Arabidopsis thaliana: one gene and its partner. Each later gene encodes a partner of the first gene's protein in a complex. Each region holds a gene or a part of one and is shown on either strand. Other genes may lie near its edges. The genes, in order: AT3G54630 and AT3G48210.

Region 1 (4,566 bases):
TCGACAGAGAAGACGATGTGCATCGCTTACCCAATCGCCTCAAATTCTTCTTCTTCTTTTTTCTCTCTCTCTCTCTCTCTCGCTCTTTCCTTAATTTGTTTTTGTCTTACGTGGAGCCGCCATTATTGATTAGGATACTTGACACGTTTCTGTATTGTATTGGATTAGTACTAACCAACATATCTTTTTTCTGTTAATAATTTAATAAAAATGCAAATTAAGGCATTCAAAGGCATTTTAAATTTCTACTTTAGTTGATGTGTGTCATTTACTTTGTGGGCAAAAGGGTAAGAATAATGTGTTGGCTTTATAGATAAGCAGCTTAGGTTTCCTTTGTCTTTTTTAACTCCTTCCTCTCATTTTCTTGATTTGATAGCTACTCTCTCTTATTCATATCATCAGTAAGATATTCTCACCACATATGATGCATGAGTAAGCAAGCTTTAAACAAGTAAAGGAGGAACTCAGTGAGACTGAAGAAAGTGGTAACCCAAAGAGGTTACAACCGAGGAGCTGCAAACATAGCCTGACTTCAAGAGACCCGAGGGGATAAACCGAATAAGAATCAAAGTCACCTAAGTCAGCTTATGGTAAAAAGAAGGTAAGAGTGTATTCATTGGAAATCCTATGTAACTTGATCATAACAGCGTTCTTTGAGTTAAACATTGTGAATATTAGATTATGTGCCTATCATCTAAGTTTCAATGAAAAAAGAAACACAGATATTTATATACTACTAGCATAGCTGAGCAATTTCAATTATCCATCCTGAAAACTCATACATACCACACATAGATGCTAATACGACTATGTGAACAAAAGCAATAGGAATTACTCACGCTTTTAACAATCTCTTGGCTCAGTTGATTCCAACCACTAGATACCAAGGTTCTTCTTGAAGTTGGCTTTGTATATCTCTGAAACAGCACTGGCAGTATCAGCAACACCGGTTTTGATCTCCGATATCTTCGAATCCATGTACTCTTTCTGTTTCGATATCGAATCGATAAGTGCAAAGAGTTGTGCAGCACATGCTTGGACCTCCTCTTCACTCTCCTTCACTGCTTCTTGCAATCTAAGCTCCGAAGCTTTTACAAACTCAGCAGCTTCTTTCTCCACAACCTCCAGATTCAAAGCCTCAGCTTTCACACTCTCAACCAATGTTTTCGCCTCCAAATCACATTTTGTACTCAACTCCTGAGTTTCCTTCTTCACCAACTTCATCTTTTCTTCGAGGTCATTGATCTGCAACTGAATTGACCCAAGAAGACTCCTTTTGGATTCGATCTTCGAAGCCATTTCAGACTTATGGTGCTGTAAAGTGACCAATTCCTCCACTTTCTCCGCCGAGCTTCCTTTGATCCCATCGCACAACGAACACAGAGCTGGCTTCACCACCGATTTATAATCCACACCCATCACCGCTGCAGGTGTTTCCCCTCTCTCGTTAACAGCGAACTGAATATCAAGCTTCAATCTCCTGAGAGCTTGGTTGCAGTCAATGGCAAGTGTCTGAATCTGATGAAACTGATTCCTAATCTGTGAATTGAGTTCCCAAGCTTTCTGATCCCAACCATCTCTAGCAACCTCAGCATCCGCAACATCTCTTTCCACAGCTTGTAACTCTCTTCTCATCCTATTTACATCCGCCGCGCTAAAGTTCTGAAGCTCCACACTCTTCTTCAACTCCTTATTCTCTACAGAGATTCGCTCTCTCTCTTCTTCCTTAGCTTTGAGCTCCTTAGCTTTCTCCTCCACAACTTTCTCCATCGCTGGATTCCTATCAGTATACTCCACAACAATAGTTCGGAACTTGTTTACGTCATTCTCCAAATCGGCTTTAACTTTCTCCAGAGACTCTTTCTTCGAAGGACCTTTCCTCAGTGACTCAAGTTTAGCCTCCAATTCACCGGAGATTTTCTCACAACCAGAGATAGTTTCAGCGACGCTAGTCTTCTCCGCTTCCAATTTACCCAAAAATTGAGAATCTAAATCGTTAACCTTATCATCCTCGCCGCGAATGAAGTGACCAAAGCTTTGAATCGCGAAGAAATTCATGGAGTTATCTTCGGGTACGGAGGTGGAATTAGATACTAGATGTTGATGGAAACGAGCAAGCTCAGCTAACCAGTGAACAACGGCGAGAACAGTAGGCCAATTGTGAGGCGTATTTGGAGCTTTGAGGCTAGATTTGGTGATCTTAAAAGGACATTTCTGCGATTTGAGAAAGAAGACGAGATCCTCGTCCCATTTGATGGAATCGCAAGGGTAATCTAAAGCTGAGAGCAAGAATTTTAGGGTTTCGGAGATGTCTTTGACAGAAGGAACAGGATTACCGCGGATAGAGATCGGGAAGTTATGTGTGGAGAGGAAGGCGTTAATGAATCGAATCATCGAAGATCTGTCATCGGAGGCTCCTCGGCCGCCTAAACCGATTGATGAAGGACGGCTGCTGGCGAAACTGGCGTCGGAGTCTCTTGAGTTAAAGAGGTGACGTTGTTGCTCGATTGATGGTGGAGGTGGCGGCGGCGCTCCGCCGAAACCCACCGTCGTTCTTCTCTTTCCCGCGGCTCCGCCTCTCATCTCTTTTTTGCTTTTTACAGATAAAGCAACTGACACTGGAACTGGATCGGGAAATATATTTCTATAGAGCAGCGGGATGGATTACTTTTGTAATTTGAATTTTCGAAAACCTAAAAAAACCTCTTCGAATTTCTTTGTTTTTTTATTTCTCATTCATTTCAAAAGAAATTATATATAGGGTTGTTTTGTTCTGGTTTAATCGAACCATAATATCAAACCGGGTCGCAAATTTATCGAACCAAATTGGAAAACAATTTGAGTCATAACGTTTTTATTATTCTGTGTAAACCGAGCAACTGGTTGTGTGGCTTGAGTCACAGTAACTTATTAATCATACTTGAAATGTATCAAAAGATTGAGACATCATTGTCACACACCGATAATAATCAAAAACACAATCTAAAGATGTTGTCTGCAAATGTTTGTGTTTCAAAGAAGAGCAGATTTAAGAGACTTGGTTAGTTTCTCAAGCTCCTTAAGTCCTTCAGTTGGCGACTTTGCATCACCCAATAGCTTTACCATTGCACTGCCTACGATCACTCCATCAGCTCCCCATCCAGCTATCTGTTGACACAACAAAACTAGTCAGCAAAGAAGTAACTATGAAGACAACATAAGAGAAGCTTTGTAAGGTTTAGGACCTGTTTCACATGCTCCGGCTTTGATATTCCAAAACCGACTGCCACCGGCTTGTCTGTCGCCTGCATTGAATTACAAATGACTAAACAACTTGAGCATTTCTACATCATTTCAAGATATTTGAGAAACAATCTTTAAAAAAAAAACTGTTATTAGACCTCTTTGATATCCTTCAAGAGCGACTGAACCTTTCCGCTTACAGATGATCGTGCACCAGTCACTCCAATTGAGCTCACCTGTTAAACCCAAAAAAAGGGCCAATACATTCTCAAATTAAGTAAACACATGTGACATCTGCAAAGAGAAATATACACTGAGAGGGATCTTACAAGGTAAATAAATCCTTCTGACGCATCAACAATTAGCTTCATTCGCTCTGTTGGTGTGGTTGGTGTAGTGAGTAGGACCTTGATTACAAACATTGAGCAAAATTATGTTTACTAAAAGGCAAAGATACTGAAAGCCGAATGTCAAAATAGATCGAGGCAGATCCAGCAAAACACATGTATAGTACTGTAGTCTCAGTGTCTACACTAAACAATGCTTCTACTGTTTCTATTGATAAGGCTGGCAAATAAATCTCCACAGAGACAAATGATACGTAGGTTCAGCTAAGAAAAACCAAATTCGAGGAGACGAAGAAAATAAATAAGATACACAAATGAATCTATACTGCACTGGCATGACTGAGAATCATGCTACCAAGATATATGCGTCCTTCAGATTATATGCTTACCAGCTCAATGTCGTTGTTGAGGGCTTCTTTTCTCAGCATCTCAGTTTCCTCAAGAGGAACATCGGGAACCACAAGTCCCTGTACACCAACAGCTCTGATGCTGGACATGAACTTCCCCAACCCACGTTTAAGAATCGGGTTGTAATACGTGAACAACGAAATCGGACAAGATATTTGTGGAACAACCTGCACCAAGTCCAACAATAAGAACACACATATAGGAACGATATCTGACAGGGGACACAAACACACATCTTTCCTTCAGAAACTAAACTCACCTTATCCAACATCTCAAGGATGCTATCGAGGTTTGTTCCCCTCTCCAACGACCTTGTTGCCGCAGCCTAGTTGAATAGATAACAAAGAGCAAGATGATCAAACAAAAAAAAGGCAAGGGAAGCATATATAAAGGTTGCATTTTGATAGTTGGTTTAAACCTGAATAACAGGTCCATCAGCTAAAGGGTCAGAGTAAGGAACACCCAATTCGATTATGTCAGAACCACAAGCATCAAGAACTTTCAATGCTTCAGCAGTAGTAGAGAGATCCGGATCACCAGCTGTGATATATGGTATGAATGCTACCTTCACACATAAAAGTTAAACAAA
Region 2 (5,056 bases), 2.4 Mb from region 1:
TGGATACAAGTAACTTGGACGATGTCATAAGTTTACTGATATATTCATCCGAGACAGGGTTATGGAGTTTCAAAACCCTCCAATCTCATCTCACTTTGTCTGGTCTGATAGATTACAACCCTGTTAGCTTGTATGGAAACCTTTACTGGATAGGCTACAACAACGACTATGGAGAGGTTGTTGTGTTCCATGATTTCTACGCGACTGGCACGGAATCTGATCGATGCCAAGTTACACCTTTCCCTGACGGTGGAACGAAACCACCAAATTTAAAATGAGTTTGCACAACATCTCAAGGATATATCATGTACATGAACATCTTCTCCCAAGACAAAGATGATGCACATGTAGAGCATAAGTTACGTGTATGGAGGCTAAAGAGCCGGGAATGGGAAATAGTATCTGAAATATCTCTAGCTTGTAGTGAGACTGGTTTTGATTACATTCCGCTGGCAATAAACCCTTTTGATGCTAATACAATGTACATGTGGTGCAAGATGCATTCATGTTTGGGGTCTACTAATTTGCGTAAAGACAAGTTCGGGCTTCACAACAGCTTGGAATGTTGCAAAGATTATCAAACTCTGAGTTTTGCTGGGGATTGTAACATGTTGGAAGACCTTTATCACTTATACTTTTCCATGTTCGTTCTCCCGCGTTGGCTACACCAAATCCCTTCTTCGCCTTCATGAGCGAGGTGAAGAGTCGTTTCAAGAGGAACAACGAGTTGGAGAATGGTGTTTGATTTGTTTTCTTGTCTAATTTAAGATAGAAAATATGGTTGTGGCTATATTTTTAGTTTTAAAATTGCATAAACTGTACATCTCTAATGCACAATCTATGGCTCAAGTATCCATCATTATCTCTAATGCGCAATCTTAATGAAGCTAGACAAGCATCCATTAGCTAACGAAATCTAGAAATAGAGAAGCGCGAGATTACATCGATTAAAATCTAGTCCCACAAGCTCCATCATCGATTGGTGTATAAGCATAGCATCCACACTAGTAAAGAAATCAACATTGTCAATAAGCGTGATTACAATGACATTCTAATATTTATAGGAATTTCAAACAACAATCTGTTGTTGTCGAAAGTTCCGCAGCATCATCTACGCTTAAGTTTATTCCTTGATGCTTGTGAAAAGGAAAACAGAGCTCCACCTTCATTTCTTACCCTGTAACAAGTTAGAGTTGCTATATAAGTTGTATGTTAAATACTATAGGCTCCATGTGATCAGTTAAGTATTATTAATCAGATAGAACATTATTATGTCCAGTTGTTATGCAAATAGGTTCTGGTATCCTACTTTTGGAAACTATAGTATCTAACAAATATTTTGAATTTGGTTTGGTGTTGTAACATTTAAGAACACAATGAGTATCCAGTACCTTAAAGCGAGAAGAACGGCGAGTGGCAGATGTGGATACAGGAGCTAGGAGTGGTGATTCGCTACCTCTTTTTTGTCGCCGATTCACTTGAACCTTAGATCTTTTGTTTTCTGGAGTTGACATGTTTGTATCAGTGGAAAATGATATAGCTGGAGCTGAAGCAGATATGGCAGACGTTTCCTGTTGCAGTTGTCCTGAATGTGTTGGCAGCTCTGACAAAATCCAATAAAACACAAGTCTTGGTCATATTCAACTTTTATATATATCGAAAATAAGATTTCTCACTTATGGAGATAGAGGTTATAAAAGGATAGGCTTGAGACAATTTACCAGATAAAGTGGATTTCAGAAACTGCTCCCTCATCAGACGAACAAATCTGAAAAGGTCATTGGTTTTATTCAATTCTTGAACCATCTCGTTGATGTAATCCAATTGCAGATCGCTATCCAATACTGATGATCATATAAGTAAACGACTGTAAACAGTTCATATTACTAGGTTTTTTTGTAAACATTATAATGTAGTTGATGCTTGCTTCAAGAAGACATATATATACTCACGTGTGTAGATGTCATTTCCATAGTGAACTGTGAACGAAAATTCGCGGGTCGGCCTTTTTGCATCAATGTTGGTGAATGTGAATTTAACTCCTGTAAGAGAAGTTAAAACAACAAAGCTCTTTTAGGGCTAAGGTTTAGTAATATAGAACTAAGATTGTTACAAACTCAAAATGTCTCTATTACCATGTCCAGCTTCAACGTGAAAACCGAGAGCATGATTATACCAAGAGATTGCTTCATGAATATCTGCTTTGTCTTCGGTGACTTTACCAGCGTTGTCCTTCGATTTTGACAAGGCTTTATTGGAAGAAATATGTTAGCTTGGTCTTCAGTGATTCATGTGATCTCTTATTGAAACAAGCAGAGTACTTTTTATAGATATCTTCACTTTACAAAATCCCAAAGCATGTAGCTGACTCATGAAACTTGTATGTATAATGAACTTCAGAATTATATAACGATACCTTGCAACTGTTGGGAGATAATTCTCACAGAATCATCCTTCTTTGACTTCTGTAGCTGCAAATTTCTTCTAAGTACTTCAATCCTAGATTGTGTTGCAGAAATGGAATCTCTTATCCCCATTTGCCGTGCCTCTTTACGGGTTTTCACTAAACATCAAACATATAACATCCCAAAGACAGTAAGATATCCAAACTCAGCAAAACAATGTATGTAAGCATGAAAATAACACCAAGGAGAATCTTATGATTTAAGAAACTAAGTTCAAAGTTTCAAGCTTTTGAGGTAATAATACCTGCCAACACTTTAACTAGCTCATCCTCTGCTTCTCTCAGATCCGCTTTCAAATTCATTAGTTCCACTGTAAAATCAAAGAAACATTTCACAGAACCGCTCAATTTTACCAGTCTGATGTCGAAATTTTAAAACCCTAATTTCAGAGAGACAGAGCCTAAACCGTAAAAAAGTGTGAAATTTACGATCTGGGTCATACGGAACTGAGTGGTACTATGCGAATTTTGAATTTTACCTTGGCTTTGAGCAGTGGCTTGAGCTCGCTCCACTAAAGAGTTCATCGATCTCCGGAAAGGAGAAGCGATGAAAGAATCGATTTTAAGACGCTGTTCATGAATATCTTTCTCACAGATGAGACCCAGAGACGCCATAGTCTCTTTCGTTGTGTCTCCACCAGCGATGTTGCTAATTTGTTCCATCACCAAAGAGAGAAAGAGAGAGACTGAATCGAAGTTTAGCCCGCCATTTGAATTTTGATTCGAGTTTCGAAAATATGCTTCAAAACGCGAACCATCGTGATGAGAACTTTAAAACGATGGCGTTTTCATATCGTGCTACGTCCAAATTTATTGGGCTCCTTAAAAGGCTATTCTGAGACAGGCCCATTTGTCTGGTTTCTCGTTTACCGAAAGTAGTTCAGTCATCGGCAAACGTTTGATTTAATACGCGTTTGGCATCAATCACTATTTTGATTTATAACATTTTTAATCGCTCTAAATCAAAACCCTTACTTACAATATAGTTACAATAATATTATTTTTATCATACCAATTTTTCGGAAAATAGTAATATTGAATAGTGTGTGAAAGGTTGAAAATTGAACCGTTAGGATTTTAATTAGTTAGCCGAAGGAGCTGACAAAACCGAATACTACGGTTACACTTTAGAGAGTCAAAGACTCTTTTAATGCATTAACTACGTTTTCTGCATTGCATCATTGCATGTCTTCTCTTCCTTCAAGCAACTAGTCTTTTAATTAACACTAAATACATATTGAACATAACAATTCCTTCGTCTAGTTTCAATATGTATTTTCAGTTTTTTCACGTCCCTAGCTCACTTTAGACCTGCAAAGTGTTTTTTTTTTTAAAATAATAAATTAGAGTATTTTCACTATATATCAGTAGAAATGGGTGCGTATGTTTTTGATAATTAATTCAATAAAACCTGTAATGAGTAGATAAGACAATGAGTTTACTGTGTAAGTAAGCAAAAGGGACAAAAATGTGTTTTGTACATTATTTTGTTCTGTGTTTGTACATTAATTTGTTCTGTTTAGAATTTTTATAGATATTGGACCATGCAGAGGGTGTTAACTTGTTATAGCATTAACCATGTGCTAGATATATAGCATCGGAGCTTAAACGAATTATCAGTGTTAGATAGTTTGCTTGATTACTTCAACTTGAAGTAATCTGGCTGGCTTTATAATTAAGCTATTATCTTATAATTAGGCTATTATCTTTAATTTAATTGAAACTAATACTTTTGAGGAAAACTAATCGGATGAAATATTTCGAAAGAACTTTTTACATTGCAACGCACCCGTCCTGAGAATTAATGCGTTGTTGTCGAAGGAGAAAGGGCCATAAAATATGGATGAAGTAAATCGATCGAAGAAAGTCTTTATAAGGATCAAAATAAGGTTCAAATCCAATATGAATGAATGTTGACCCTAATTTTGGCCTCGGAAATCTTTATGATCATAGGAAAAAATCATTGTACACATCAAAATTTCTTATGAAAAGTAAACTGAGTTTTTGTTCATTACTCTTAATTATTGTAATTCTTTCCTTCCACAACAATAACTTATGAAAAGTAAACTGAGGATATGAGGATCTATCCTATGAGGTTTTCCATTCCTACAGCCTCCATCCTGCAATGTCGCGATAAATATAAATTATTAGTCAACACAAATTAAAAGGTATACTTGATCAATATACGTAAATATATACGAGGTTACGAATTATTACGGAGGAGCTGGAAAGCCACATTTTTCGTGAAGACATTTACGGAGACAAGGGGTCTCAGGGACAGTGATGCGGCCACCACATTGGTCGATGCACATTTGCTTGCATGTTGTTCTTATTATAATTGCTTCTCCTCCTCGTATGGATGCCATCACCACCATCATCATTATCATCATGATCATACTACATTTCTTCATCTCCATTTTTTTTTAGTTTCTTTCCTTTAATTTTTTCCCTGTAAGTGTATGTTTACGTATACATGTCTTTTTTGTCATAGGTGTGTGTGTAGTATATATAAAACTAATGTCCAGAAAAGTTAAAATCATTAATTTAAAGTTTGACTAGACTATAATTAAAAATATTAAAATTTTCTTTATT

What was found.
Region 2: AT3G54630 (region 1) and AT3G48210 share a complex: the UniProt entries of both Arabidopsis thaliana proteins name them as parts of the NDC80 complex.

What each region holds. Positions count from the first base shown.
Region 1 is NC_003074.8:20,220,319-20,224,884, forward strand, and holds AT3G54630 (kinetochore protein), read right to left. Parts: upstream 2,711-4,566; 5' UTR 2,584-2,710; coding exon 877-2,583; 3' UTR 779-876; downstream 1-778. Other genes in the region: BZIP25 (basic leucine zipper 25), read right to left, coding at 1-23; TSA1 (tryptophan synthase alpha chain), read right to left, coding at 3,013-3,147, 3,225-3,284, 3,381-3,458, 3,552-3,629, 3,959-4,144, 4,237-4,302, 4,396-4,542. UniProt on the Arabidopsis thaliana protein: Acts as a component of the essential kinetochore-associated NDC80 complex, which is required for chromosome segregation and spindle checkpoint activity to ensure proper cell division.
Region 2 is NC_003074.8:17,847,506-17,852,561, reverse strand, and holds AT3G48210 (kinetochore protein), read right to left. Parts: upstream 3,212-5,056; 5' UTR 3,128-3,211; coding exon 2,944-3,127; intron 2,776-2,943; coding exon 2,710-2,775; intron 2,564-2,709; coding exon 2,417-2,563; intron 2,250-2,416; coding exon 2,136-2,249; intron 2,043-2,135; coding exon 1,953-2,042; intron 1,845-1,952; coding exon 1,722-1,844; intron 1,604-1,721; coding exon 1,392-1,603; intron 1,178-1,391; coding exon 1,166-1,177; 3' UTR 777-1,165; downstream 1-776. Other genes in the region: AT3G48220 (F-box protein), read left to right, coding at 1-278; AT3G48209 (Plant thionin family protein), read right to left, coding at 4,678-4,881. UniProt on the Arabidopsis thaliana protein: Acts as a component of the essential kinetochore-associated NDC80 complex, which is required for chromosome segregation and spindle checkpoint activity to ensure proper cell division.